Diceros bicornis minor: one gene and its partners. The protein of the gene in region 1 interacts with the protein of each later gene in a biochemical or structural test. Links are inferred from orthologs where the notes say so. Each region holds a gene or a part of one and is shown on either strand. Other genes may lie near its edges.

Region 1 (7,958 bases):
CGGAGCCCCAGAGCTTTCTCCTCTTCTTTCTACATTCTTTCTTTAGGTGGTCTCATCATGTTTCATAACTTTTAAATACTATTTAATACTCCAAAAAATACAAGGTGTCAAAGCAGGTCAAGTATGCTACCACTTTTGCAGAGTGGAGAGAATATATACATATTTGCTTATATGTGCACAAAACATATCTTTGGAAGGATACGTAAGAAACCTCTAACATTGCTTGGCTCCAACGAAAACTGGGAGACGAAAACTGGGAGACGGGGGACAAGAAACAGGGGAGATTTTCATTCTATACCCCCATCACACTTTAAATTTTGAATCATGTGAATGTAATTTTTATTCAAAATATAATTATAATAAACCAACAAATAAATGCTGATGACTCTCCATCTCTTTCTCTCCTCACTAGAATCTAAGTTTCCTGAAGGCAGAGATTTTTGTCTATTTTTTCACTGCTATATCCCCACTGCCTGGTTCATAGCTGGTGCTTGAAAAATAACTGTTGAATGAATGAATGACTCCTTAATCTCTCCACTAAACTCCAGACCTGTATATCTAATGCCTACTTCTCACCTCTACCTGAACATCTAATAGGTCCTACTTAACACGTCCAATCCAGTTCTATCCCCCTAACAACCTGCTTCCCTCACGTCTTCCCCATCTCAATACATGGCATCACCATCCTCCAGTTGAAGCCAAAACCCCAGGAGTCACCCCTGTCCCAACCAACTGCACCCCCAGCCAAACCACAAGTTCAGTAAATACCTTTAACTCCAGACATATCTCAAAATCTCTTTTACTGACTCCAGTCACTACTCTACTCAGTCAGCTTTGAGAGGAGTAGTGACTGGTCTTTCTTTTCTCCTCTTACCCAATCTTCCCAACAGTCAGATTCTAAGTCAGACCACATCACTCCCAGCCTTACAAAAATTCCAATAGCTTTTCAATGTACTTTAAGAATAAAAGCCAAACTCCTTTGGACAGTAAGACATCACATGACCTGGCCCCTGGCTAGGACCTCCCCACTTAGCTCTCACTAGGATGCCCCTTTAATGAACTTCTTCCCATTCGCTGAACCCAAGCTCGATACCACCTCTGGGCATTTCCATTTGCTGTTCTCTCAGACAGGAACACTCTTCCCTCAGACTTCCAAACGCTAAATCCTTCTCCCTTCGCAGATATCAGGTCAAAGGTCACCTCAGACATGTCTTTCCTGACCACAGCATCTGAAGTAGTCTTCTCCCAGTCACTACCATAACTCTCTATTTTATTTCCTTCATAGCACTTGTGATTCTCTGAAAATATTTTTATTTCCTATTTATTGTCTGTCTCTCCCTCTCCCACCAGAATCAAAGCTCCAGGGGGGAAGAAATTTCAGTGTGTCTTGTTTACTGCTGTCTCCCTAAATGCCTGCAACAATGCTTGGCATACGAACCAGGTGCTTGATAAATACTTAACTGATAGATAAGGCAAAACTGACTTTAAAGAAGCTCCACAACATTTAATTTAGTGACAGATGGGTGAGGATAAAAGACATGGATAAACTATCTTCACATTTATAAAACACCAAAAATCATCAGAGAGGGGGGAGAGTGAACCAAGAGTACTTCAGATGCACGGACACATTCAAATACAAAGAAAAGGCATTTTTCACACACTATGTGCACCCACAGTGTAGAAATGTTCCCCCAACTTATAAACAGCATCTGAAAAAAAAAGGATAACTCAAAACGCTGTGTCCATCTGTTATTTCATTTATGACTCTTTTGGAAGAGTCTTCCAAACACTGTATTTGGGCAAAACAGGCCAAGTATAACCAATTTTGCTCATTTGTCTATCTTGGAAAAGAATGTGACATTTTAAAGGGAAGGGAACAGGCTTTTAAGTGTTTTTAAATGTCTATTAAGTAGTCAGTAATCAATCAGAACAAGGTGATTATTTCCCATATTTTACTATGAATGTAGGTCTGGCACAGGTCTCTTTCAAAGATTTTTATATTGTAAAGTTAGCCTACAGCGAATGTCAGTAGTTTATATCTTACTATCTTCAAAATTTAAACTTCCAAGGTGCTGCCCTTTTACTGGTAATAGTAATCCATGGGGGAAAAGAGAGGATTTAACAATAACAACAGCCTGCAATTCACAGATGTTTTATTTACATGCACGCATTCGTGGGGTGGTAGGGATGGTCCAGACTCCCCAGTGTGTAACTAAGTGCTCTAAAGAGAGTCTGAGGCTCTTATTTCACAGATCCTAAGTGTTGAGACGGATGCCCTTAGGATACTGCTCCCCAAAGCTATCAATCTTCCCTGTCGGCGGAAACAAAAGTGAAAATACTCGTGGTAAGGATGTAAGAAATTGATGCCCTCCTCCCCACCCCCAACCCAGACACACAGAGTTGTGGATCCGTGGGAGCCCGTAAATAAGCAGAGGAGTCCACGCACTCTCACCTCCCTCCTTCGGAGGAAAATGGGGCCGAGGGAGGGGCGGCCAAGGCCGGGCTGGGGAGGCCCGGGATCCAGTCCAGGGGGCGGCCGGGCTCAGGGGTCAGCGCTCCAGGGAGCCGGGGTCACTCACAGGACACCGTCTTCGCTGGCCGCCCCCTGCATCCTTCCCCCTCCCCGCTCCTCGCCCCCAATTCCTTTCCTCCGCCCCGTCCTCGCCACCCATGAACCGGGAAGGGAAGTTTCCCGGCGCCTGCAGCCCGGCTCCCCGACCCTCAGCGGGGTTACCTGCTGCAGAAGCGGGACAAGGGGCAGGGGACAAGGGGAGGGGGAGGCAGCCCGAAGGCGTGAAGGACGAAGCCCCGGCGAGGAGGGTGGGCGGCGGCGGCGGCTGTCAGCTCGCGTCCCCTGCTCACAGCGCTGCCATTACTGTGCGCCGAGGCCGCCTCCCCGCCGGCCGCCGCCACCGGCCCGGAGACGCGGGGGGAGCCCAGCCCGGGAGCCCGCGCGCCCGACGCTCACCTGCCACCGCGCGCGAACGCCGCAAAGCCAAGGCCGCCGCCGCTCCCGGACGGGACGTGGCGTGGGGAGGGGGAGGGGAGGACGGGCTGGTTACGGGGTCCGTGAAACGGCCGTTCTCCGGGCGGCCGGCTTTCCCTGACACCCTCCCTCCGGTCTCCCTTCCGCCACTTCCAAACCCCCCTCCGCTAGCAGTGGTAGGGTCCGCGTACGGCAAGCGCAGGGAGCCCGGCTTAGTGCATGGCGAAAGGCCTCGGGGAGCAGTCTCTAAAGGGGCTGCGTGCGGTGCTGATTGTTAACGAGGCAAGCGCCAGGCTGTAGTCAGGGCCCTCCAAGTTTGGCGGCTACTCGCTGACGAAAAGTGTCAGAAAGGCGTTTTCAACAAAAGTATTTTCCTGTGAGTTGTTTCAGAGCTACGTGAATATTCTGAGACACCACAGCCTCCTTGCCACACGCTTCCATGGGCTTTTCAAATGATCAAAAATATATCAGCAAAACTGCTTTTCCCTTTGACAGACTCCTTTTCTAGTGGGTTTTTAATCAATAGACAAATAATGATACATAAATGTATTTTCGTTAAAGGAACTTCTCTTCACAGTCTTGAGCACTTATTCCCCACCACCAGCACTATCATATCCCTGGAAAGGGTTTTCCTCCCTTACAATTTGGTCATGTTGATGAAAATATAGATTTACTAGTCATCTCCTCATTTACACAGAACCACAAGAGAACGAAAGCCTGGCTTTATTCCTTATTTGTCTTTCATATCTCAGTGGTCAAAGTCTTGTTCTTCATTTGTACGTTCTGAGCAAGACTTTCCCTTCCAACCCTTTCTTCAGACTATTTGTACTGATCCTTCAAGGCCCACTTAAATCCTGTCTCCTAAGGTGATAAATCCCACCACTCTTTAAGATTTAAGAAGCAATCTCTTATCTCCTTCTCATGGCACTTGAAGTCTGTACACTTTATTTTAATAAAGTTATTATATACTAAATTCAGTTCAATGGTTTGTTTCCATTATATGACCTTTTTTCTCACATGTTCTCCATCTTTTGTGTGTGTGTGTGAGGTAGCTTGTCCCTGAACTAACATCTATTGCCAATCCTCCTTTTTTTGCTTGAGGAAGATTGGCCCTGGACTAACATCCGTGCCCATCTTCCTCTACTTTATATGGGACCCCGCCACAGTATGGCTGGATGAGCAGTGTGATGATCTGCGCCTGGGATCTTGAACTCGAGATTCTCTGGCCACCTAAGCAGAGCGTTGAAACTTAAATGGCACCAGGCCAGCCCCATGTTTTCCATTTTTTAATTCAACAATTCTCAAAGTGTGGTCCTCAGATGTCTGGAAATCTCCAAGACCTTTCCAGGGGTCCCAAGGTTAAAAACAATCTTCATAATGATACAACATGTTTTTTATCTTTTTTATCACATTTACACTTATGGTGATAAGCAGTAGTAACACCCCTGAAGTTGCCTTAGCGGGAACCAAGAGGGTTGCACAAAACTGTCCCAGTGGTCAATGGATCACAGTATTGTTTGCTGCCACACACTCCACTCCACACTGCCAAACCAGTTTTTTAGAATATCTATTTAGGAATATCCTTGATGAAGTAGTAAAAAGTATTAATTTTATAAATTTCAGCCGTGAGTACACCTCTTTCTAATATTCTGTGTGAAGAAATGGGAAGTACACACTTTAGCTCCATACCAAAGTAGGATGGTTGTCTTGAAGAAAAACATTTGTGTAGCTGAGTTGCAAGCTGACCTAGCTGCTTTTGTCATGGAACACCATTTTTCCTTGAAAGAACAACAGATAAACTAATGTTACTCTGACTTGGTAATTGACAAATATTTCTCCAAAATGAATGAAGTGAGCTTAATACTTCAAGCAAGACAGCTGAGAGTATTTGTTGTCAATGATAAAATTTAGCTTTCAAGTGAAATTTGAAAATTTGGGTAACTTGTGTTCACCACTATAAGCTTGATAGCTTAAAGACTTTTCTGATGAGACTGTAGTGCTATTAATGAATATGACTTTTTGATATTGTATGATGAGATATGTCAACATATGGAAGATCTACATGACACAATAAAACAGTATTTTCCAAATGACCAATGCAGGATGTTATAAAATCACACATGGATAAAAGATCCATTCAAAATACAAGAGAGACCAATTGGTAGATAGGGGTGTGTGTGTGTGTACACACACAAAAAAAGCCGAGTACACAGGTGACTTGATATGGTTTCAGATTCCTCATGGCAACTAATCTTTAAGAAACTACCACTTGTCAAATTTTCTGTAGTATCAGAGAAGAATACACACCGGTTATCCAAAAAGACCATTAAATTCTCCTACTAAGGCCTCCTATTTTCTTCATGTACTTCAACCACGGAGAACCTAGCTATCTTCTATTAAGCCAGACATTAGAGATATGCAAAAATGCAAAGCAATGCCATTCTTCTCACTAAATTTTTTTTATTTTAGAAGATATGTTTTTTTTTTCATAAAACTTTGCAATTTATGTTAAAATGTGTTTGGGTTTATTATTTTTTAATTTATAAATAGGGCTTTTTAAATCCTCTTTTTAATTCTAATATGGTACCTATTGATACATATAACCCACACAAGCATAAGTTCTTTGAGTTCCTCAGTAATTGTTAAGAGTGTAAAGTGGTCCACAGACCAAAAGTTTGAGAACCCCTGCTCTAACTCATGAACTGCATCCGCTCTCACCACTTTCCTTTTGAACTCTAGCTGGAGATGTGGACTAGCACAAAGGGTGCCAAGCATGAATGGCCATAACACCCCACTATTTCTAAATTCAGAGACTTCTCACCTCTTCCTAACTTATTCAACCTATATAATAGGGAAATGACATTTCTAAAAAAGTTATAGCATCCAAGCCCCTAACATTAAATTGAGATTGCAACTTCCTTCAAGAAAAAAAAGTTTCCTTTCTGGCCAACACTTCAAGCCACCACTTTAAAGCAATGGTTGGTCTTTACCTCCAAACCAAACTTCAAACTCTAGTTTATCCATGAATCTTTTCTTTGTTTTACTTTTTAGAAAAAATTACATATATTTCTAAAAATGTGTTTTGGCTTTGTGTAAAGTTTATTGAATTCCTTTATATTTTTTGTGACTTCAAAAGTAATAAATGCTTTTTTGTAAAAAAGAAACAAAAAACTACCAATATTACAGAGATAAATAACCATGTGTAGCTTGATAAATACTCCTCAAGATATTTTCTATGAATATTATTAAATATTTTGACACAAATCAGGTCATATTATAGATATGCTATTTTGTAGCCAGCTACTTCAAAATCTTCCTGATTTTGATCTTTATGAGAACATAAATAATTTTTAGTCAGGCAGAGTAATTTATAAATTAGTATTTAAAGAGGAAAATTAATGAAAAATATTTTAAGTAGAAATCTTAAAATGTCATTACATAAATCGGTAAACAAAGTATATCCACTTCTATTCATTCTCTATTTGTGAGTATACATAATTTTTTCTTTCAAAAATTTCCAAGTTCATTTCATAATCTCCCTGTACTAATTATTTGAGGAGTCCAACCAGAACTACTTGCTGTCTTTATAAGCTTCCTTTATAGATATAAAATCCAAAGAGCCCTGATTTTGCTGCGATATTTATGATTTCAAATAATTTGTCTCATTTTTATATTCTATATACTAAATCTGAATCATCTTTTCTTAAATCTTTACTAGGAATTTGCATTTCCTGGTTATATCATTTATTAAATATTTTTCCACCTTTTGCTTCTAGTAAACTAAAACAAATGAGATATTGAAGAACAGGTTTCATGTTTGGAGTAGCTAACCAAAGAGCTGTGTTGTGCTTATAAAAGAAAATGCAAGACTCCTCTTTGGAGAAATATCTGACTGTAGGGCTGGGGCAGGAAATACACAAGATGAGCCGGGAGAATCTTGTAGTGTAAGAAAGTAAGGAAGTGCTCAAAAATAAAAACATCCACATTGGTGAGGGTATGTCAAAGGTTACAGGAGGCAACTGAAAGAGCTCCCACTAGCCAAAGCTAGAAAAATGTGAGCAAGAAAGTGAAGCAGTAGGATATGGGAGATCAAGAGTTGGCCACCCTGAAATATGTCTCTTTACCTTGATTGTTTTCTCTGACAGACATTTGACCTCCCCCACTAACTGCCTAAAGAATTTAACATAGAAGACCTGTTCCAGGAAGGAGTTACTATCTGATGCTGGTAATACAATGTAAAACAGATGTTACCATAGGAAGGCACCAACGAGCCCATCTTATCAAAAATTCTGTCTCTGGCCATATTCTCTAGGTGGCCCTGCAAGGAGTTGCCAGACAAACATTTACATTCATAAGGGAAAATCTCCATTTGTAAAGGTATCTCCCTCTCTGTATTGGGAAGAGGAGGGATGACCTCATTTCTATAAACTTATCAATGTGGAAGGTGAGGCCTTAAATCTGCATAATAACCTTACTCTTGTTTACTGTGCTTTTCTGGTAATCTCCCTTAACTGACTCCCGCCACCCCCAACATCCTCCTTTGTCTTTAGCTGAAGCTGGTATTTAAGGCGAGAATCTCTTGATTGTGTTGAGAAACTCAGTTTCCCTGGTTTCTCCCATGTATACATGTTATTAAACTTGGTATTATTTTCTCCTGCTGACCTGTCTTGTTAATTATTTGGCCAGCCAGAAGAACCAGAAGAGAAAGGGCGGAAGGGGATTCTCCCTCTCCCCTGACAGTTTTGGCGCCCAACGTGGGGCAAAAATTTCACTGGCTGGACACAGCTCGCTCCTGGATGACTGCAGTGGGGAGATCTCGGACCCTGACAAGAGCTGGCAGGAGGTGAGAGTCCTTACCATGTCAATCTCCCGGATATCTGCCTGCGGGGTCCAATGGAAATGAGAGTGGTGAGTTTTCTCTTTCTAAATTTAGATTGACAGGAGAAAATATTGGTGAAGCTAGCTTCTCAGA
Region 2 (7,953 bases), on another chromosome or scaffold:
GCCCAAGGACACACGACAAGCGAGGTGCGGAAGGGGCTCTGGAACCCAGGTCTCCCCGGCAGCCCCCTCACACACCGCACTTCCCAGGGGCCCGTCTATGACTCGCAAAGGAGAAGTGGGTGCAGCCGGGCTGGCCGAGAGGAAGGCGGAAGTGACCCATGGAGGCCCATGGGCACTTCCCACTCCCTGTATTTCCACATCTCCTGCGAAGAGAGTCTTCCCCACCCCCACACACCCGCACGTGGACAGGAGGGCCCAGTCGGCAGCAGAACCACGCTGAGTCTCACGCTGGCTTCTCTGAGGACAGACCCTACGGCAGACGAAATGAAGCCTCCAGTCTTCTCTAGAGCAACAGCATGACTCCCATCGCTAACCTGGCAGTTCTACCCACAACCCCTTGCAACCAGTTACTGGGCAATAGCCAGAGACCCACGTCCTCTCCTCCCAGACAGGCAACCTTGCTCGGAGACCTGGCCTGGCCTCAGGGGGTGACCCCGTTATCCCAGCTCTGAACCCTCATCCTCACAGCCAGCTGTCCCGAAGCACACAAGAGAGGCTGAGGAGGGCACTGGTTACACCAGTGACCAAATCCGCTGCCTGCATGGGGAGGCCAGGTGGCAGACACAGAATTTGGCCCAGGGCGGTCCACACTCGTCCCCTCATCCCACCCAGCACGAGGGAACCTCGACTCAGGGATCACGCCAGCAGACCAGGCTGCTCCATTAGCCCAAAGTGCAAACATAGACATCTACCCAGCAGCACCCGCCCCGCCCTGCAGCAGGCCGGGCTGTGGTTTCTGCTCCCCACCCAGGCCTCCAGCCAAGCAAGACCTGGCAGGACCTGGCAGGGCAGTGTGGGGCTCCTGGCCAGCCGTGACAGGGGGTTCCTGCGCTGAGGGCTCACTCCCCACCTGGCGCACATTAAGACCCCCGCGTTGTCCCTCAGGCTCAAAGAGCAGAGTGCTTCCACATGAGCGGGGTCGCTCCAAGGCCATGGCTGGGCTCAGACCATTAGACCAAGAACGCTGCCCAGATCTGGGCCCGAGTCCCTTCTCACTCCAGACAGAAGTACAGCCTGCCTGGGAAGCACTTGCCCAACAACAGGGAACCCCTAGGAATTAAGACACCGCAGAGGACAGTGGAGAGGACCCAGAGTGTGAGACTCGGGCCCCAAGGAGCCACCTGCTCTGTGGAACCCAGGAAAGGCCCGTTAGGGCGAGAGGAGCGCAGCTTCAGCAGCCAGGACCGGGGTGCTGGCAGGAGCTGGGGCCTGGGGGCGCACTCTGCGCTGGCTGCAGGCACAGGGCGGAGGATGGAGGGGCGGCCTCCACCCCCCCAAAAGAGACACGTTACATAGCCCAGTGATCAAGCAGAGGGCCTGGGCCCTGCTTTCAGCCGGGGGGCCGCTCTCCAAGCGCGTCCTGCTGCCACTTTGTGGGAGCTCGAGCAAGTGGCCAGGCAGTCACCCCACACTGGCCTCGCTCCCTCCCTCCTTCCTCCCCAAAGCTGCGGCCCCCACAGTGCTCCCGCCTCTGGGGAGCTCCCTTTGTCCTCCAGGCAGGCCAGGGGGGCAGTTGGCGGCCGGGTGGGCCACGGCTCCCTTTCCCTCCCTGCAAGGCTAGCCAGGTCGGAGAGACGGGGCACCGGGCCCAGCCTCCCAGCGAGAAGGGAAGCAAAACCCCGCATCCAACAAACAGGGGGCTCCGGCCTCCTCTCTGGGGGCCTGAAGCGGCCTTCAAGGGAACCCGGTTCTCGGGGACTCCTGGGGCCGGACGTCAGGGGACACCAAGGGGTCCCCCAGCCTGACTGAGGTGGGGAGGGCCCTGCCGGGGGAGGAGGGAATCTGGCAGAGAAAGGAGGAAGGTCCAGCTGAGGAAGGAGGAGGTCCAGCCAAAAGAGGGAGGGAGAACGCGATGCAGCTGAGGAAAGGGGAGTCTGGCTGAGGTAGGGGGGTCTGGCCAAGGGAGGAGGGAATCTGGGGCCGGTGAAAGAGGGATGGGACCGAGGGACAGTCACCTCAAGAGAAAAAGGACAGTTCGGTCCCGAGAAAAGGGAGGGGTCGCCCCGACAGGAGGGAAGAGGGGGTCCAGGGCAGAGGAAGGGAGGAGGATCTGGGGCTGAGGGAGGAGAAAGAGGGGCTGGGGCCGGGGGAGGAGGAGGATCCAGGGTCGGGGCAGGAGGGTTGGGGGCAGGGACAGGAGCGACCAAGGCAGGAGAGGAGGGGGGCGGGGGCAGGGGCAGGAGGGACAGGAGCAGGAGGGAGCCCGGGGGTGGAGGAACGGAGGTAGGAGAGGGGGACCGGGACCGGGGGAGGAGGAGGATCCGGGGTCGGGGGAGGAGGGTCCGGGGCAGGGGGAGGAGGAACGGGGGCAGGAGAGGGGGACAGGGGAAGGGGGAGGAGGAAGAGGGTCCGGGGCCGGGGAAGGAGGGTCCGGGACCCGGGCAGGAGGAGGAGGATCCGGGGTCGGGGCAGGGGGGTCGGGGGCAGGGGGAGGAGGACAAGGGTCCGGAGCCAGGGGAGGAGGAGGATTTTGGGTCGGGGGAGGAGGATCCAGGGCAGAAGAGGAAGGGGGCCGGGCGAGGAGGCGCAGGGGCAGGAGGAGGACCAGGAGACGGGGGCCGGGGCAGGGGAACGAGAAAGAGGGGCCGGGGCCGGGGCAGGAGGAGGAGGATCCGGGGCCGGGGGAGGAGGGTCGGGCGAAGGGAGAGAAGGGTCCGGGGCCTGGGTAGGAGGGGGGCCGAGTCCGGCGGCCGCGCACCTTGAAGTAGCCGCCCTCGTAGTAGGTGTTGGGCGGCCCGAAGATGGCCACTTCCCAGTTGTACAGGTCGCCCTCGTCCACCAGCGTCACGCGGAAGCCCTCCACCGGCTCCTCCTGCAGCCCCTTCAGCTCCAGCAGCAGCGCCTTCTGCGAGCTGGGCACCAGCGGCCGGGCCATGGCGGCGGACGGGCCCGGGGCCGCGTCGGGGGCGCGGGACGGGCCGGGGCCGGGGCCGCCTTCCTCCTCCTCTCCGCCGCCGCCGCCCGGGGCCCCGGAGCGCTCCACCCGCTCTGGCGCCGCCGCCGCCCGGCGCTCCCTTGGCCCGCGCCCCGCCCCGCTGCGCCTGCGCGACCCCGCGCCCGCCCGCGCCTGCGCGTCCCCGCCGCCGGGTCCCGACCACGCCTGCGCGCCGCCAACCCAGGCCCCGACCGCGCCTGCGTGCCCACTCGCGGGGCACGCCGGGAAGTGGAGTCCCGCCCCGCGCACGCGAGAGCGGCCGCAGGAGCAGGGGCCGAGTGCGCAGGCGCCTTGCGCTTCCGACCCCCGGAGGCCGCTGCTGCCCGGGCGGACGACTACGGACCTGTGCGCGGGGAGGCGGCGGAGCTGGGCTGAGACCCCCGGCCCGCCCGGCCTTGGGGGCCTTTTTTGTGACGTCCCCACGCGGGGCGGGGCAGGCCGGGGCCGGCCGGGGCGGGGCGGAGGGAAGGGCCGGGGCGGCCGGACCCCGCTGCCCGAGCCTCAGTTTCCCCGTGGGTCCCCGCCGGCCGCTCTGGGCGGGCAGACAGGAAGCCGGGCCGCTGCGGGGAGGCCCGGCCCGCAGACGGCGTCCTGCACGGGCGGTACCTCGGTTTCCCCTCGGAGGGGCGGAGCTCGGCGGGACCCGAGGGTCAGCGGGGAAACCCCAAAGTTACCCCTCGACTTGATTCACCTCGACGAACTGGAATCCCAGGAGATTGACGCTGCTTCCCCGAGAAACTGGAAATTAGTCCTCCTCCCCGTTCGGCGTCCGTTCAGCCCCCATCCCGGCCGAACGCCCAGGCTGAGCCTGACCCGGGCTGCGCCCTGATCTCAGGCTGACCTTTGACCCCAGCTAGCCCTGACCCTGGGCTTCACCGGATCCGCCTGAGCTCTGACCTGGCTGAGGGTGGTCCCAGACACCCCCCCCACCGCGCTAGTACTTTAGGTCAGGAGGGTGGGCGTGGCCACCTGGCCTCCATCCCTCCCATCTGCAGGTGACGGCTCCCCAGGAGGGTGGGCGTGGCCCTGGTGCTGGCAGGTGTCCCGGGCAGCCAACAGCTGCAACACCTGGGCTGGGCTGAGCTGACTCCCTCCCCCAGGTGCCCCAACGCCTGGCCCCTGGCCTCGTCTAGCTGGGGACAGCCAGGCGACCCCGTGTGGGGGAAGGAAAACAATGTCAGCGGTGGGAGGGACGGAGGAGTCTGAGCCAGCCCTGGGCAGAGCAGCAGCTTCCAATGGCTGCCCAGGGCCGGGACCCTGGCTTTCTGATCCATAAAGGGGAGCTGGGCCTCATCTCTTGGCCCTCTGCCCTGCACCCCAGGGACCTGAAGTGGTCCGTCCTCTGTAAGGTGGGCTGTGTGCCCTTTGCCAGATGTTCAGGTGTCTCTGACCCTCATCTCACCCATGGCGCCAGTGTCACAGCGTTGGCATGTGGCAGCTCGTCGATGAATAATAATGATTAATCATGACTCTTCCAGAGAGGTTTCCTGAGATCTTTCCTACAGCACCCCACATCCCAGGGGGGTTGTTGCGTGGGTGGGGTGGAACTGGAGATGTAAACCGGGTTTATGGCCTCTCCAGCTGGTCCCACGTGGGGCCTCGTCCTCCAGGAAAGCCTGCTCCTCAGGCTCGGAAATGTCCCCGGGGTGGTGGACATCTGGGGTCTCTGCCTACCTGTTTTCTGGCCACAGCACCTCGGTTTTCCCTTGGGGGGGGATCCTCACTCTTAGTCTGTAGGGTTGGAATTGGACTGACCCCCAAGCCTGGCTGCAGGGATGGGTCATCCAATCAGAGTTCCCCAGGCCCCCTGGCTGCAGCGGTTGGTTCAGTAACAGCATGACTCAGCCATCCCTGGGACTTTTTCTGGGAACACCGAGCTGGGGTGGCTGAGCTGGTTGGACCTGGGCCTGGAGTTATGGGGCCATCTCATCACCACAAGGCCTGTGAACAAAGTTGACACTCAGGAAAGCTGACTCGACTGACCAGAAAGGCTGATAACCCTGTTTGTGCTCCTGGATCCAGCCATGCCTGACCTCCACTGAATGTGCCAATGATGCAAGCTGATAAATTCTTTTCTTATGAAGCCAGTTTGAGTTGGGCCTTCCACCATGTGCCACAGAAGAGGCCTGCATTCAAATCTGAGTTCGGCTGTGACCTTGAAAACGGTCCTCAAATGCTAAAGCAAGTCTCAGTTTATCTGTAAAATGGGTTTCATGAAATAATATTTGAAAAGCTCTCGGCATAGATACTGAGAATGTTATAGAGACAGAGACGATAGTGTTTTTACTGCAATTATGCCTGTTGGGAAGAAACACATGATCTCACGAGGCGGAGGGGCTGCGGGGGTGAAGTAAAAAGGGATGCACAGGAGAGAATGTGGCCCCTTGAGGGGAGAGGGACGTGGAGTCGAAGACAAAGGCTACGGGGCCGGTGTGCTTTGGATGCTACAGAACCGGCTCCAAAGCCAGCTCTGCCTCTCCCTGGCTGTGCCATCTGTTACTTATTGTGGTGGAGAATAAGGGCCCCCCCAGACGCCACGTCCTAATCCTGGAGCCTGTGGGTACGCTGCCTCACGTGGCTAAAGGAACTTTGCAGATGAGATTAAGAACCTCGAGATGGGGAGAGTACCCTGGTTATCCAAGTGGACCTGTGTAATGCCACGGGAGGCGGGAGGGTCAGAGGCGGAGCAGGCGATGGGACGACGGGGCAGAGATGCACTTCGGAGATGGAGGAAGGGACCTTGAGCCCAGGATGTGGCGCCTCCAGAAGCTGGAAAAGGCAACAAACAGATTCTCTCCTGGAACGTCCAGAGGGAACCAGCCCTACCCACACCTGGATTTTAGGACTCTGCCCCCAGAACTGTGATAGTAAACTCGTGTTCTTTAAGTCACTAACTTTGTGGTAACTTTTGACAACACCCATAGGAATTGAATACACTTATCTCTATGGGCTTCAGATTCCTCCTCTGGAAAATTGATTCAGTCATTAAGTCATTCACTCACTCATGGCCTTCCAAGCACAAATCTAGGCACTGAGGACACAGCAGTGAACAAAAGGAGCAGAAATCCCTGTCCTCGGGGAGGCTGTAAACAAGCTGATGAATAAACAGCAATTTCTGATAGCAATAATTACTATGAAGAAAAATACAGCATGGTAGGTGTTAGCAACGGGGGTGGCACAGGAGGGTTATTTTGAGTGGGTGGTCAGGAGGTGGCATCTGAGCAGAAACTAGAATGCAGTGAGGAAGTGAGCCACGTGGGTCTGGAGGAACAGTGTCACAGGGAGAGGGAACAGCACGTGCAAAGGCCCTGAGGCAGGGCCAAGCCGGACCAGCTAGAGACCAGCGTGCCTGGGGCAGAGTGAGGGGACAGAGGCCAGAAAAGTAGCTGGGAAGTCTCTTGGCTCAGCTTTCCTGAGTGTTGGCTTTGTTTGCAGGCCTCGTGGTGACAAGATGGCTCCAGAATCCGGGCCCGGGTCCTCCCAGCTCAGCCACCCCAGAAAAAAATCCCAGGGCTGCGTCTCATTGGCCAGCCGGGAGTCACATGCTGTTCCTGAACCAATCACTGGGGCCAGGGTGCCGGGAGCACTCCTATTGGCTGGTGGGGTCGCCCAGGTGGATGAGGATGCAGGCTGGACCAGTTCAGAGGAGGAGCAGGCAGGATGGAGTTGAGGCGCAACCGACAGGATGCAGAGCACCGCCAGCTGAGGGTCGGGGGGCATTCAGCCCAGCCCCCCCATCTCCACCTCGGTGTCTGGGCGGACTGGGGGCTTCCTCAGAGACCAGACACCCAGAGGAGCCCCGGGATCAGGGAGGCTGACCAGAGGCTCTGTCCCCGACGTGGCAGGCCTGGGATGCACTTGAGATGTGCCCGAGGAGACGCCCAGCAGGCGATTGGCTCTCGCAGGCTGGAGCAGAGTGGGGCCGGGCCTGAGAGATGAATGTGAGACGCCTTGGCGCCCCCGGGGCCGTAACTGAAGCCGAGGGCCTGGAGAGAGGCCAGGGGATGAGGATGCACGAGGTGAGGACAGGAGAGGCCCCAGACGGAGCCAGGGGACGCCCTCCCTGGGGAGCTGGGAAGAGGAGGAGCCTTCGGGGGCAGCAGAGGGACCACCGCGAGATGGGGCCGGTGGGGGACGGGGAAGTGGGTGTTCCCAGAAGCGGGAGGTTCCATGGTCCACGCTGCTGCGAGGCCAGGCGAGGAGGAGGGGGCGGCTTCCCGGGGCTGCGCCGGCAGAGGTCACGTGGGGATCATGACAACAGGGGGCTTCCGGACCCGCGACCGGGCGTGGCGGTGACTCGGCGACGGTGAGGGGAGCTGGACAAGGCAGGGAGGTGGTCCCGGCTGGGGTCCCCTCAGCCTGATGGGGGGCTGGAGCGTGAGCTGCCCCCCGACAGCTCCACCTGAGGCGACGGGGCCGGCTCTGGTGCCCCCGGTGTCACTCACCGGGGACGTCTGCCCCGGAAGGAGGCATGGACCCTCCTGGGCTGTGTGGCTCCTCCTCCCTCGAGGGGCAGCCGCGACCTGCGATGAGGATGTGGTGGCACCAGCAACACCCACTGCACAGTGCCCTGCCTGGTTCTGATGACCGGGAGGCAGGGGTCGCCCGGGGACCACAGAGCTGACCAGAGGGTGCCCGGGCCGTGAGTCCTGTCCTGGCCTCGGGGACAGTTCGGGACTAACGCAGAAGGTCCACCCGGCCTCACCCACATCTGTCCCCTGCTGCTTCCTGGATGTGCGGTCCCCGGCCCGAGGCCACAGATGCTGATGCTTCGGGCGCGTTCCCGCGCGTGGGCTGGTGACATACTCTAGTACTAACCGCGAACACTTACTGAAGGGCAGCTTTGTTAATTTTCCGGCTACCACTGCTGCGTAACAGACGAGCCCAGAACTCGGGCTTTTATCATAAATCAATAAATCAATCGTTTATTTAGCCCACGAGTCTACCAGGCGGGAACC
Region 3 (7,284 bases), on another chromosome or scaffold:
CGGGCCGGCCCTGAGGTTTGAATTTTTTACTATGTCTCCTAAAAGTGTCAGAAAATGTCAGTTTCTAGTTCAGAAAAATTTCAAAAGAATACTGAAAAGAACTATATAACGTATAAAATGTTTTATTACATACTTTGTGTTTTCCAGAATACCAAGTCCACTTTAGTCAATGGATGTAAACCAGTAAGTGAACGTGTCTGCTTACAAATTGTATTAACAGTAAATGAGTTTCAACCCTCCTACTAAATATATACTGAATTATATATTTACAGAAAATATCAGCCTGAAATGGCACCAAATTCTTAGCCTACCCACAATTCTCAGCCTTGACCCTGATTGCAGCACACAGCACTAACACATAGCAGGCCTGCAATAAATAATTCGTTAAAATAATGAACCAAAAAACCGTTTTAAAGCATGTGACCGATATCTTCTTATATTAATTTCATTACCTGCATACTCATAAAACCAAGCCAGGCACTTCTTGCTTGAAAAATGTTCCTCTCCACTTATTAGTCTAGCAGGGGGTTGGGATCTGCAATAGCTTAGAAAACACACAAATGCCTAAGAATTTTATCAAGTCTCAACTTTTAGTGAAAAGCTAAGTTCAATATGAACTACTTCAATTCAAACTAAACAAAGTATTTTTTTTTACAGCTGGCATTAGAAGAAAAAAATTGGAGTTGTTAAGTATTTGCAATTTGAAACAGTACATTAAAATTTCTGGCTAACAAAACCCAAATGCTACTTTGCTCATTATCAAATTCCAAAAATATCAACTAAAATTAATTCCCCAAATTTCAAAAGACCACACAGAAGTTCAACCTAATGTTCTCAATGCAGGACTGGTACTTGGGAAAACATAAATCTTTCCAGTGATCCTTCTGCTGATTTGCATGAAAATTATATTTGTGTATAATAGGTACACATTTGAAAACAAAATCTTACAAAGTATATTTTGATACTTAATGAATCAATATTTCAAAATAAAATTATGTATTAAGAGTTGTTCATCATCAACTAAGATTAAATAGATATTTAAAGATAAAAGATGATTTACGACCTATGGGTAAAATTGAATTCCACAGATTAAAAAAAAAAAAAAACAAAAAACTCCAAAAGATAGAAACAGTACAAATAATTGGGCCAAAGCTATTTAATCCCAGAGTCTGTTTATCTTTTTCATAAAACCATTAAAAGTTAGGAATTTCATAAATGGCCATAGGATTTAATGAACTTCAGAGAACCTTCTCAAGAAGCTCAAATAGTTACACCACCATAACATAGAAATGCTATAACTTCTGCAACTGACTAATGTAATGTAACGTAACGTAAAATAAGGGTACTATATTTAAAATTTTAAGTTGATTGAGCAAAGTATCACCTGAGTTCTAATAATATTGACTGCTCAGCTATTTTAATGTGCTCAATTTAAATAATTTTGATACATTATACACTTAAGATGACTACAAGTTAGAATAATAAAAAACTAATTTGTAAGTTTCATAAAAATATGAGCTAGTGGAGTAACCATGTTAAATTCTAGTGTGAGTTACCAAGAGGGATATGAAAACAGCACCATCTTTCACAGTAACAGCCCAAGAAATATCCTTAGGCTCCTTTGCCAAACACAATAATGAAGGAAAAAAATTTAACCAATTATGAAAAGAAGATGCAGACTAAATAAGCCACCGACCTCACATTTTAAGCAGGTCTCTCTTTAAGGAGAGCTCTATTATAATCTCCTCTTTATAACGCTGGCTAGTCTTCTTTTCATAGCAGCACCTAAAGTTGTCACATCAAGTGCCAACCACTGATACAGCCAAAGACATCCAATAAGCGGATTTAAAAAACCCACTTCTCACGCCTAAATTGCAATGATTTTTTGCAGCATACAAGGTTGCTGCGATGCTCCAATGACATGCTACAATGGGATCAAAGAGCTATAACTATAGCTTTGCTTTGTTTTCTTTTTCTCCAAGAGGATACAGAGTACAATAGCTTTCAAATTATTAATATTTATATTGAGAACTAACAGCAGAATGCTAGAACACAAAACGCATACAGGGCCTTTCCAACTCTGCACAGAGGGACTTGGCGCAGGTGGAGGCGCTATCCTTCCAGAAAATGCAGCTCCTGCGATTTAAAGGCCTGCTGCTGGGATCATCCGGGTTAGACCACTCCAACTACTACCGGAGATCAATTATAGCACAGGGAGCTTTCCTTTCTACCATCCCCATGGCAGTTGTCAGGTCAAGAGTCCTCATGCTCTGCTCCTTTCTTCACACTCTACAAAGAAATTCTAGAAGTGACCATTCCGCGGATCTGTACTCACTTCTAGGTCTGGAAAGAAGGCCAGGGGGTGGGGGTGGGGGTGGGGGTGGGGTGGGATTGAGGGTGTAGCGGGTAAGGGGAAAGAGCGCAATTTACGTACGCATTCCTGTTTCCCCACCCTCCAGGGCACGGAGACTCCAATGTGAGGAGACTTCCAGTCCCTCCATAGGCGCCAGAGCGCACACACCGAACACGAGGTGGAGCCGGCGCAGGCACTCGCGGTGTCCTGCAGCCACCACCTAGCTTTCTCAGAGTGGGCTCACCTCTCCCCAGCCCGAGCCCCGGAGACCAGGCCCGCCTCCTTCTCCCCTTGCCGTCCGGCGAAGGAGGAAGGAGGAAAGATTGAAGGGTGGGGGGAGGTGGTACCTGGAGATTTTACACTTTTTCAGGCCTCCGTCTTCCGCTACTGCCGCTGCCACCCCAGAGGATTTTCTCTTCTTCTTCACTGGCATCTTCCGCCCTCCCCGGCAGGGTGGGCAGGGGAGCCGGGGAAGGGGATCGCTGTCCGCTGAAGACTCCTCAGTGCTGACACCCGGTTCCCAGAGACAGCAGCAAGTGAAGGAGCAGAGTCGCCAGCCCCCACCAGAGCGGCCCAGGCCGGCCGCCGCTCGCTCCCAGATCTCCTCCTCGTCCTCCTCGGCTCGGGGCAGCGGGTACTCCTCGCCGGTGGACACTGCAGCTTGGTCACACCGGGAAGAGAGAACGCGGACAGCGCGGCACCGCCACCACTCACAGATTCCGAGAGCAAGAGACTCAGTCCGACCTGGAAGCGAATCGCCCAGGACCGGAAGTGACGCAAGCTCAGAGCCGGTCGCCGGGAGGGGCGTGGCGCCGGTTGGCCCTGGCTCGCCGTCAGCCAGGCTGAGCGACGGTGCGTAGCTGCCAGGAGTGGAGAAATCGTGAACTGGTGGCCAGTTGACCGTCTTTGGTTGTCCAGGCTATCCCGACCTTTCTCACGAAGCTTCCATCCTGTCCTAAGGCTGGTAGTCACCCTCAAGAAATGTTTTATGAAACCACTAATACTCTGCAGTTGGCGTTACAAATAACCTGGTAAAGTAAACCAAGTTTCACTTCTGAGCTCTTCCATTCGGTAACCTCACGTTAATTGTTCCCCACCCCTTAAATGCTTGTTTTCTTTACGGGCCGGCGATCAGCCTCCCGCTCTCCCACCTCCATTTCTCCATCATCCCTGACCTCTGCTTCTCATTTCCCCTTGTTAAAACTTAGCTCTACCATTTCTGTTTCCACAGAGCTCACCTTTCAGATAAGCGTACGTGATCGCTGACTTAGTAAAGAGAATTTGGGGGACAATTCTAAGGGGCCTCCCCCCAATCCTTACTACCCAGTACACTTGCAATCACTCCAGCTCCACTTCAGTGAAAATATTGTTTATAAATAAAGGTTACTGCATGTAAAGATTATATAGTAGAAAGTCGTTTTACTCAATATATACATGTAAAATAAGTTCACATCTGTAAACCAACTGTGATGGTAGAGGACTAAAAGTCTCTTTAAACTCAATAACAGTTGATGAGGTTCTGGTGAGACTACCTCCATCTTGGCACCCTCACCTGGCCAATCAGAATATCATATTTCCCTAGTGTCATTAATTGGTTCAGAACAGACACATGACTCAAGACCTGCTAGTCAGTGCCATGATATGAAACTGAACCATCAGGAAGCAACTTTATTTCCTATGGACTGAACTTGAGAGGATGTGGAGAATGAAGCCAAAACTCAGAAGAGACCAGAATCAAGCAGAAAGACAAAAACCAAGACATGATTTTATGAAATGAGCCCTGAATCTATGTATGCCCTGGAATTTTCAGATACATGAGCAATAAATCTCACTGTTTTGGTTATGCAATTAAGTTCTCTGTTACTTACAACCAAAAGAATATTGTTCTTGAATGCTGTAATCCCACAACGCAGTTAAAAATGCATGAGGCCAAAAAATCAAATCTGAATAAGGTCAAGTCTCTAAAAAGAAATGCCATCTGTAAGTAGAGGATGGTGGAACATATTAACACTCAATGCAATCAGCAAATCTATATTGTCAGAAAATCTACAGGAAAAATGACCCAGATTCCATAACAAATTATTATAAAGAGAGTGGGAGAAAGAAATTTTAAAAGATATATCATTTTTCATATGTCTTATTTGAATCTTGATTCAAATAATTTAAACAATATCATGACATTTATGAGGCAATTGGGAATTTGAACACTAGCTGATATTGATGAAATGCTAGAACAGGCAAAACTTATTTACAGGACAGCATCAGTGATGCTTGGGGACTGGAATGGGATGAGGATGGAGGGGGAAGACTGCAAGGAAGTACAAGGGAAGTTTCTGGATAATAGACATATTCTATGTCTCGATTTAGGTGGTGGTGTATATACTTGTCAAAATTCATTGAACTGTACAATTAAAAGTGTATGCCCTTTATTGTATGAATATTATTCTTCAGTAAAGTTGATAAAAAAAAGTGTGAACCAAAAAACAAAACAAAACAAAAAGACATGACAAAACACCATTAGAAATAACCAAGCTTATTTCTTCAATAAGTGAGCTGCAAAAGCTAAACATGCCTTTCCCCAAATAGGACAAAGGAAATGGAATAAAATTCTAAAAGATAAATACTAAGACCTCAGAGGGATATCCTTCCAGAGAGCAGAATCAAGGCCTAATTAAGGGGTAAGGAAGCTTCATAATGCCTGTCTAGCAGGATACCAGCACTGCTATGGACCAGTGACTATTGCACATCTTCCATTCTTCTCTAAATAGGAATATTTATTGTGGTTATTGTGTCCATTCTCCACTGTTGTTTATTGCATGAGAGTGGGGAGCAGATAATTATCTCTTAGTTTATAGGTCACTGGACCATAAAGAACTACTTCTAGACCTAAGGAAGAAGACCCCACCACACCTGGAGATTCTGGAGATTCAGCTGAATGCAGTGATTGGACAGGAGCCTACCTGCATCTGTAGAATTCTCTGAAAAATAGATAAAAGACTGGGTTTATGTATGGTATTCATTCATCCAGTCTGTTATTCAAACAATATTTAATGATCACTTAAACCAGGAACTGTGCTGGATTTAGGGATATAAAGGCAGGCATGACTCCTGCATTCATGAAGCTTACAGTTTGGAGGGGGAAATATAAAGCAGCAGCCTATTTGTACTTAAGAGAACTTTATGAACAAAGAATAGGGTCAGTAATCTATACTCGTCAATAATATTAAGGAGAGGGTGATTTCCAGGGTCATGTAGACTGTTTTCTTCATTGCCTTCTCTGATCAGTACCTACTGCCACCACCATACCTCCATTCTCAAAATGGAGCATTCCATCATCCCAATTACTTTCACAGAAGGGGCATATTGATAGCATCACTGCCTGTGAGCAGTATAGAAATGCCTAGTTATGTAGTTTTAATCTTTGCTGCTGCTCACATGGATAGTACATTATTTTCCATCAAGAAGGCACCTATAATGGAGAAACAAACTATGACAGAGTACTGTGGTTCTTTGTCATGTAGTAGAATTTTTTAATGAAAGTAATGAGAAGGAAAGGAAGGGATGAAGAATTTACCTTAAGCAGAAACTCATGTGTTCTGGTTTCAACTCCAAAGAAGACACTCAGTGCCCTTAGGTAAGACACATAACTTCCTTTATCCTTCATCTTATCATACTGTTACATATAAGGATATAGAAAAAAATAACTAAATAATATCAATCTGTAATGACAGTGGATGTATATTTATGCGAAATAGAGCAGTAGGCAAAAAGACTTGACTGGGCCATAGCTCTGTCATCTGTTTGACATGTTGGTTATATACATACCCCTTAGCTCTTGGGGGTTATAGAATGAAGCCAGGAAAAACAGCTTTTAAAATAGCTGTATCTGTATTAAAGCAGCCAAAAATAGTGCCCTAAAATGTGCTAATTTATATATTCTGTTTATTTTATTTTAGTTCATTTTTTTCTTACCACCACCTTAAAATAGGGCATTTCCACTTGCCAGAAAAACAAGCAACACAGAAATTAAGTGATTTGTGGGATGCCACATGTTACTGTAGTCCTGGATCTATACGAATACTCTCCATACATTAACATTGATTTTCAAAACAATCTTGTAAGTCAAAATTTTGTAAAATATTTTCATACCCATAAACCCAGAGAAATAGGATGTTAAAACAGGACTTTCTGTTTTGGAGCTTCAATAAAGCCCATGAGAACTTGTGTTTTAGGGAGGCCCAACAGTGCAGAACTATGTCACACCACGTACCCCATACCTCCTAAAGCAGTGTGCTAGAGCACATCAATTGCAGCCTGTCTGTGGGCCTGGTGCACTCTGGGACCCAGCCTGAGGAAGTAGCCACTATCTGGAACATTGCCTGTCATCACGACAGACAGAAAGGAAAATACGGTGAACCCCATGCTGGCTGTTAAAGGTTCTGCCCTGAAGTGACGTGTATCACTTCTCTTTAAGTCATACACCTGAGGCTACTCCTGAGTTCATCAGGATAGGAATGTATAATCCTCTTGCAGAGAGGGGCACCAAATAAAGGTAAATACAGTCTACAACAGTATGGTATTGGAATGAGATTTTATTCAAGATCCAGGGATGAATGAGTTCACAGAGTAGTTTTAAAGGGGTAGTAGGGAAAAGCATAAGATTAGTTTCTGCGTATACCTCACTGTGGTAGATTGTATTTTCTAAAGATGGTTGAAATGATATCTCTCAACCCACATATTCTTCTAGACCCTTGCCACTCCCTGTCAAGAATGGAGTCTAATAAATAATAATAATAATAATGAATCAATATTGGTTCATTAATTGTGAGAAATGTCCCATACTAATGTAAGATGTTAATAATAGGGGAAACCGGGTGTGAGATATATGGGAACTTTCTGTATTATCATTGCAACTTGTCTGTAAATCTAAA

Evidence for each region.
Region 2: the proteins of CUL2 (region 1) and CDC34 form a complex in vitro, tested with the Homo sapiens proteins (2 studies listed by BioGRID). The link is inferred for Diceros bicornis minor from reciprocal best matches to the Homo sapiens genes CUL2 and CDC34.
Region 3: of the proteins of CUL2 (region 1) and DCUN1D5, one has a biochemical effect on the other in vitro, tested with the Homo sapiens proteins (2 studies listed by BioGRID, with this or other methods). The link is inferred for Diceros bicornis minor from reciprocal best matches to the Homo sapiens genes CUL2 and DCUN1D5.

Annotation. Positions count from the first base shown.
Region 1 is NC_080775.1:32,877,364-32,885,321, forward strand, and holds the start of CUL2 (cullin-2), read right to left. Parts: upstream 3,081-7,958; 5' UTR 2,969-3,080; intron 2,865-2,968; exon of another isoform or gene 2,735-2,864; intron 2,580-2,734; exon of another isoform or gene 2,453-2,579; intron 1-2,452.
Region 2 is NW_026691553.1:212,555-220,507, reverse strand, and holds the start of CDC34 (ubiquitin-conjugating enzyme E2 R1), read right to left. Parts: upstream 3,041-7,953; 5' UTR 2,936-3,040; coding exon 2,759-2,935; intron 1-2,758. UniProt on the Homo sapiens protein: E2 ubiquitin-conjugating enzyme that accepts ubiquitin from an E1 ubiquitin-activating protein, and catalyzes its covalent attachment to other proteins by an E3 ubiquitin-protein ligase complex. In vitro catalyzes 'Lys-48'-linked polyubiquitination.
Region 3 is NC_080746.1:31,997,041-32,004,324, reverse strand, and holds the start of DCUN1D5 (DCN1-like protein 5), read right to left. Parts: upstream 3,041-7,284; 5' UTR 2,787-3,040; coding exon 2,701-2,786; intron 545-2,700; coding exon 453-544; intron 1-452. UniProt on the Homo sapiens protein: Contributes to the neddylation of all cullins by transferring NEDD8 from N-terminally acetylated NEDD8-conjugating E2s enzyme to different cullin C-terminal domain-RBX complexes which is necessary for the activation of cullin-RING E3 ubiquitin ligases (CRLs).